2 linked regions of the Xenopus tropicalis genome follow. Each later gene encodes a partner of the first gene's protein in a complex. Links are inferred from orthologs where the notes say so. Each region holds a gene or a part of one and is shown in the gene's direction. Other genes may lie near its edges. The genes, in order: dlc1 and tns2.

Evidence for each region.
Region 2: the proteins of dlc1 (region 1) and tns2 are in contact, whole or in part, in an NMR structure (PDB 2LOZ), measured with the Homo sapiens proteins. The link is inferred for Xenopus tropicalis from reciprocal best matches to the Homo sapiens genes DLC1 and TNS2. Residues at the interface, in NP_001335010.1 of Homo sapiens: Glu811, Asp812, His813, Lys814, Pro815, Gly816, Thr817, Phe818, Pro819, Ala821, Leu822, Thr823, Asn824; in NP_736610.2 of Homo sapiens: Asp1268, Leu1269, Leu1270, Arg1271, Gln1272, Gly1273, Ala1274, Ala1275, Cys1276, Lys1317, Ser1319, Ala1320, Gln1321, Thr1324, Leu1387, Asp1388, Pro1389, Asp1390, Gln1391, Val1403, Leu1404, Leu1405, Gly1406.

Annotation. Positions count from the first base shown.
Region 1 is NC_030677.2:41,038,456-41,042,280, reverse strand, and holds part of dlc1 (rho GTPase-activating protein 7), read left to right. Parts: intron 1-1,447; coding exon 1,448-1,661; intron 1,662-2,532; coding exon 2,533-2,647; intron 2,648-2,998; coding exon 2,999-3,217; intron 3,218-3,738; coding exon 3,739-3,825. UniProt on the Homo sapiens protein: Functions as a GTPase-activating protein for the small GTPases RHOA, RHOB, RHOC and CDC42, terminating their downstream signaling.
Region 2 is NC_030678.2:147,556,194-147,560,018, reverse strand, and holds part of tns2 (tensin-2), read left to right. Parts: coding exon 1-795; intron 796-2,896; coding exon 2,897-3,420; intron 3,421-3,825. UniProt on the Homo sapiens protein: Tyrosine-protein phosphatase which regulates cell motility, proliferation and muscle-response to insulin. Phosphatase activity is mediated by binding to phosphatidylinositol-3,4,5-triphosphate (PtdIns(3,4,5)P3) via the SH2 domain.

The DNA of each region.
Region 1 (3,825 bases):
ATCTATTTTTTTTTTTTTTTTTTTTCCCCTCTGTGCTTATTTTTGTCATTGCGCTTCACTGGATCATGTAATTTGTGCTTGAAACATTTTTGGCTATTGATTGATACAGAGTGTTTATTGTTAAAGCTGTTTGGCCTGAAAGTATTGGCTTGAAAGCCCTTATTGAAAACAGAAGTGTTCTGGTCAATGTCCATGTTGAGGCTTATGGAAACCAGAGGTGTCTGTTGTGCTCTGTAACCATAGAGCTAGTGATTCAGGTTTCCACGTGCATTTGTCAGAGGCCGGCGTTTTTCCATGATTTTATTCTTATTCATGCTTTAGAGAAGAACGTATTTGCATTAGTAAGCCTATTAGTTACTTTACAGACGTGAAGTATGGGAAGCAGAGCTTTCTCCTTTGCTCTCCAGTTAATCTCTTTAGCTCCTGTGACTGATGGCCTTAATGCCAAAGATCTTTCCTCTCTTACTTTTTTCCATCTGTCTTCCCATGGTTCCCTTCTATTTGTATATGTTAAATGGGGTACTGTACCTCTATTTGAACAGTATGGGCAATGTAAAGAGCTTATTCTATCATTTTTAATGAGCCACTTACAGTAAAGGGGTGGTTTGCCTTTTAAGTTAATTTCTAGTATGGTATAGAATGCCCGACATCCAGCAACTTTGCAATTGATTTTCATTATTTTATTTTTTTTATAGTTTTTAAATTATTTGCCTTTCTCTTCTGCCTCTTCCCAGCTTGCAAATGGGGCTCTACAACTTTATTATTATTGTTACTTTGCATTACTTATCTTTCTATGCAGGCCCTTTACTATTCATATTCCCATCACTTGTTTAAACCACTGCCTGGGTGCTAGGTTAAATAAGACCCTAGCACCCAGATAGCTGCTAAAATACCAAATGGAGAGCTGCTGAACAAAAAGCTAAATAACTGAAAAACCATCAGAAATAAAAAATGAAGACCAATTGCAAATTGCCTCCGAATATCAACGTCTACATCATTATAAAAGTTAATTTAAGGTGAACTACCCCTTTAAGCATTTTTTGTACGATACCTACCTCTCCGTTTCTTCTCCGGATCAAAGTAGAAGGGTTTGCAACCCTTAAAAACATTTTTGGATCTTCTATAGCCCTGGGCCCCCAATCGGTCTTTATTATGACAAACTTGGTTCTTGATAAGAATCAAAAAAAAACTTTTTTACACACTAAAACAGTAGGAGCAGCTCAGCCCCTGTAGACAAGGTAGTATGGCACAACAAGCACTTATTAGGGCCAGTGGGGACATCAAGCCTGTGGTCTTCCACCTGTGAAACTCTCACCATCCTCGGCTGGCTCAAAGAATTCACAACAGTAAAAATCTTAGAATTTGGTATTCCTGCACTGAGAACTGGTGTACACTTTATACTGTTAATTTTTTTTGTTTCCTGACTGGTGTCTGTTGTTCTGCGCAGATGTCCCCAAGGAGCAGCGCCTGCAGGCAATCAAGGCGGCCATTATGCTGTTGCCTGATGAAAACAGGGAAGTCCTGCAAACCCTTTTATACTTCCTGAGTGATGTTGCAGCAGCTGTAGATGAGAACCAGATGACCCCCACCAACCTCGCTGTCTGCTTGGCTCCTTCCTTGTTCCACCTTAACACCTTGAAAAGAGAGAACTCCTCTCCCAGGTACTTAGACATGTTGTAGCATGCTGAGCTTGAACTGTAGAACAGTAAATAAAGATCAATGCTGGTCAGTGTTCAATCTGCTGTAGTCTGATTTACCATATTCTACATGTTCAGAACTAGGGTGCACTGAATTCACTATTTTAGGATCCAGACAAACCCTGAATCCTTTGTGAAATATTCAGCCAAATACAGAACCAAATCCAAATCTTAATTTGCTTATGCACATTAGAAAAAGGAAGGGTTAAAGAGAACCGTACACTTGCCGTGCGGTGAAAAAATGTCAACTTCTGTGATATAACAAAAAGTCACATGATTTTAAGGATTAGGTTCAGTCAAGGGCATGGGTTCGACCGAATCCTGCTAAAAAAGGCCAAAACCCAAACCGAATCCTAATTCGGTGCATCCCTACTATGCACTCCATAGGCCATTGAAATACTCCCTAATAAGGAGCATAAGAAGCTCATGGAATATAAATGAATATTTGTCTGTTATCCAGATCCAGATTCAAAGCTGTTAAACCCAACACTTTAAGCAGTCTGTTATCCATATAAAACGGTGTTGACCATCCTACTCAACAGAGAGTGGCAGTGACATATGCCTCATCCAATATTTTCATTCTCTTTCCATAAGAAAGTATTTCAGTTTAAGATATCACATTTGGATCTCGTTAAGCTGATCCAGCAACCATTTAAAAAAGAACAAATACAAACATTTCCAGATTGGCTAAAAGTTAATCCCAAAATGAACTGCCATTTAAGAACCTCCCACCTACCATAGAATAACTTCCAAGTAGCATTTGGCTTGTTCGAGGAATAAGACCTGCCATGGCCTGCACGGTGTAACCTTTGCTTATGTTCTCATTTTACTCCAGGGTTATGCACAGAAAGCAGAGTCTAGGAAAGCCTGATCAGAAGGACCTGAATGAAAACCTTGCTGCCACTCAGGGTTTGGCTCACATGATTGCCGAGTGCAAGAAACTTTTCAAGGTCAGATTGTGTTAACGTGGTTCACTCATTTGTGTAAGCGCTTTGCGATGTTTCCTAGATCTCAGCCTCTGGGCTATTCCGTATTTTATTACTTCTTGTAAGTCTTAGTCCTTTCATGGTACCAGCACCAGTTATGTAATGGTTTAAACCTCCAGGATTAGGCTCGTTCTAGCATATGTTGCATATTTCCCCAGCATTGACACGGTCAATTAATTTGGATTTACTGCTAATAATAACAATGTCGCATAACGGTTAATACCCATTCTTTGCTATAAATACAGTAAATCGCTAAAACAACTGGTTTATTGTTCATCTGAAATCTCACATTTTGCTCTTTTTTTCATTCCCTAGATTCCTGAAGAAATGAGCAAGTGCCGTAATTCATACATGGAGCACGACCTGAGACCCGTGTGCCTGGAGGAGCTTGTTAATGGCAATGCAGAGGGGCTGTGTGACTATCAGTCGTACCTTCAAGAGAACATTGACGTCTTGCTCAAGGATGCTAAAGACAAATTCAAAGGCTGGGTCAACTGTTCGACATCAGAGCAAGCAGATCTCTCTTACAAAAAGGTGAATTGATGTTTGGAAGCCACAGGGCTGTAGTTACATGACAGGGGAAACCATGGCAATGTAGAATGAAATTGCAGTCCTCAGACTGTTGTAAACCTGTCACAATGAGTTCCCATTCTCCCCCATCCCATTGCAGCTTGGGGTCTGCAAGTTGGACATCTCTGATGTAGATGAATTTATCCGGATTGTTGTATAAATAAGTCCTTTTCTCTTGTTACTTTTTAACCCCAAGTAAATATGCATTAAGACCAAATGAGACAGCAGGCTGGGTAATCATCCATCCTTTTATGGCTCTTTAATCTCACAGCATATTGCACTTCAGAAGCTAGAAAAAAAATGTATTGTGCTTTGACTGGATCACCTAGCTTTTTTGGGGCCCAATAACACTGATAAGGCCCTTGGCAGGCACAGAGGAAGCTTTGCATTTAAGAACCTTCTAATGCTCTTACTAAGCTACATGGGGCATTAGGTTGCTGGAAGAAAAAATGAATTCTCATTGCCAACCATATATTATATTCCAGGTGTGCGAAGGCCCTCCTCTTCGATTGTGGAAAGCCACCGTTGACATCCCTGCTCAGCCAGAAGATGTTCTTCACCGCTTGCTGAGA
Region 2 (3,825 bases), on another chromosome or scaffold:
GCAAATCTGTCCTACATCTCCCTCGCACAACCCAGCCATGAACACACAGAACGCAGCTTTTCAAAGTCAGCCTTTGGGTCAAACAAGCCCTGCATCCCCAACACACAGTCCATCTTCCCAAACAGGCCATACTGCACAGTTGTCCAGTCCGTCTGTGCAGTTAAATGGAAGTAGCCAACATATGAGTTTGGCTGTACAAGGGCATGGCCAGCTGCACTCACTGGATGAACGTGGACAAGCACAAGACAATGTGCCCACACACAGCCTGACATTTCCAACAAACAATCCAGTCAACACAAAGAGTTCACCTGACCAATCAGACATCTCCAACCATACACAAAACACAAGTAAAGAGGTACATAACACTGCACTGCCCTCTGAACCACAGACGGGCAACTGTGTAGCCAGGCAGATCACCAATTCATATCCACATTCTCCTAATCACACCCACATTTCAGAGGATCAGACACCTGTGACCACAGCATTTGCACTTACAGAAACAGATCGGCCTCAACAAAAAATGGTCCAATCTCACAGTTCTGTAAGTGTAAACAATTCATCAGTAAAGCCATATAGTACGGTCCATACCCAGAGTCAGCTGGTGCAGACAGACAATTCTATAGAGAGTCAAATCCCTCCAGTACAATTGCACCATCCTGTGCCTAAAGCAAGTCAAGCCCAATTACACAGCACTGTGCACACGCAGCTGTACAGAACCGTTGGTGGTCAGAGTCCATCGGTGCCGACCCAGAAACCTGTGCCTACGCATCCAAACAGCACTGTAGTTACTGAGAGGTGAGAATATATGTGGTACAGTTCTCTCTAGAAAGAAGAATGCTTAATGACCATTATGTAAGTCCATTATAAATGTCAGTAGTGCAATAGACAGGCAATAGCCAACCATATTGAGAAGTTAATTTAATGAAATAGGTTTTTTATTGTAAGTGTGGAATTAAATTATATAAAATTACATTTATTGGCTGAACTGTATTTTTGCCTTCATTTTCTGTTTACTGTGAATAAGCCTTATGTCTATAATATATATTACAGAGCTGATTTGCCAATATCACTAGGGTTTCTTGGAACACCCTCCTACCTTTCACATTTTGCAGTTGCCACCTCTCAGCTATGAATGATCTGCATTACTTCATGCAGCTAAATTAGTTTCTATATGTTATTCTTTTGGGCCAGTGCCGGCCATCTCTGGTCAGTGTTGGACTGCTGGTGGCTCCAAAGGAAAACATAAATAGGGCCACTCACTTTGACTTTTCTCTACTTGCCTTTTCAGTTGCAGCTAAAGTTGCACTAAATAAAGCATGTAAAGGCAGTACAGATGAGATAAAGCTGACTAAAACCAGTCTATAAATATGGTAGTGAAGATGCTAGAAGATAATACACATTTGTACACAGCAGGGCTGCCTATTTTGATTTAAGAGAAAAAATATTTTTGCAGCTTTCTCATCTTCCTTGTTATTAAGGAAAACTATACCTGGCAACAGTGTAGGTCTCTATAAAAATATATTGCATACAGCTCATGCTAGGCCCCATCAGCCAACTAATAGACAGTGTATAAGTTCTGCCTTTTGCTCCCACACTACTTCCTGTTACAGTCAGAGCGGCATTATTCCCTGTCAGCTGATCTCTGAGGGAGCACACAGCCCATCACTAAATGGCGGCTCAAGGGAAAGGATGTAAAAGGGCAATATTTACTGTTATATATATTGCAGTTTGGTAAAGTTCTTTAATAGGCTCCTTAATATGATATTAACTATCTGTTGGTTAAGTGTTCATTGTGGGGGTATAGTTTTCCTTTAGGGCAAGGGCACACTGGCATATTATCAGCCTGTGGATAAGTCTAGGCTGACAATACATCTGTGCGCTTAAAAAATTATTTTAGATTTGGCAGTTGTTGGCAGATATCACATACCTGCAACCAGGTGGATTCAATGCTACTGGGTGCAGGCACAATAATAAGATTTTTGTAAGCGTACGGGAGCCTGCGCTTATCCGCAAGCTGACAATATGCCAGTGTGCCCTTGCCCTTAAGCACAATCTCATACTTTTTATTGCTCTGCTTTCCCCTGCTTTATGTTTCTTTAAGCTTCAAGTTTCCTCAATGTAGTATCCCATAATGCTGTTTGTCTATGCCAGTGTTTTTCAACCTTTTTTGGGCAAAGGCACACTTGTTTCATGAAAAAAATCACGAGGCACACCACCATTAAAAAATTTAACTCTGTGCCTATATTGACTATATATAAAGTAATTCTCTTGAATAGGAATCAAATAAACACAAAGAAAGTATTTTCCGGGACATTTTCTCCACAAACCCACCCCCCCCACTGATTTTTTATTTTTTTTTTATACACACAAAAATTTTATATATATATTATTATTAATTGTTTTCTTACATGTCAGGCTGCGGCATCCAGGGGTGTCCCAGGATTGTCCTCCGGTGGGGAGTAGGGCGGCTGTGCATGGGCCTGGCCCCTGGTGGATCTGGTCTGTCGGGGCAGGGCCTGGGCAGTTGCTCCCCCCGGTCGGGTTGTGCCAGGGCAGGATAGTGCTGCCTCTCCTCTCTGGTTGCTCCGCCCTCCTGGATCCGATGCCGGATGACGTCACAGGCAGTGACGATTTCCGGGCATCATGGAGCCAGGAAGTGGAAGGTGTCCCAGAGGGGACCGGGGGAGTCTTGTCTTCACCTACGGCACACCAGGCAACATCTCAACACTAGTGTGCCGCGGAACAGCGGTTGAAAAACGCTGGTCTATGCAAATAACAATGAATGAAGGAAGAGTAGATGCACAGTAGTAAATACTGAATGAATATGTTGCTTTAAGTGGCCTTTACAAATATTTGGAATTTTCTGACAAGAGAATATGTTATTTCTTACTTACAGGCCTGGGTTACCAGCAACTCATGTGAATGCTCCCCCCTGTGCAAATGAAGCAAATACATTATTGCCAACTTCTTCCTCCCAGTCACATGTAACTAAGTTTGTCCTGCCAGTAACATCAGAGGCTAAAAGGAGTCACACCACATTTGGGCCTGCTATCTCATCTCCCAGTGGTACAACTGCTTTTGGGTCAGGTTACTGTTCTCAGAGTTTTTCTGTGCCGAAGCACACCGTTCTACTCCAGAAGAGAAGTGTCACTATATCATTGCCAGTCAGCCCTGTAAATCCCCAAGGAAAAGAAGCACCGACCAGCCCACCAAAATCCCCAATGGGAAGTCAAAGTGATCTCCTGCCTCCTTCTCCTACTCCTTCATTCCCTATTAGAACTGCCTATTATTCCAGCAGTCCATGCCCACCTAGTATTCAGCCACCACGACTGCCAGAAAAAAATCACTCTCCAGCTGACGGGGCAAAAGTGGATCCCAATGGACTGTCTGAGTGCAACAAAGGCCATTCATCACCAGTGGGTTGGTATTTTGTACATTGATAAGTGACATATTCTTGTTGAACAAGATAGAAGCACATGGGTAATTAGATTACATTGAGACAGATGTAATATCCTGTGATGTTTAAACACCAAGGACTAGATTGGTAAAGGGGGAACCAAAACCACTCATGTTTCTAAAAAAACAAATCTGATCTAAAGGGGTGAAAACTTTACTGGCAATTAAAGGCCTTCAGGTTGTATTTGGCAATTTTAATGCCATGCCAGTATGTACCTCGTGCAGTACACATAGCCCTACAACTGCCGGATCTGCTCCTTTAACAGTTGCCAACAAAGCACAGCTGGGACTGACTTGGCCAACCACCACATCAATCTGTCCAACTGATAGAGAATCTAGGTGATTCTTGGTCAGCTTTAGTTGGCCGTA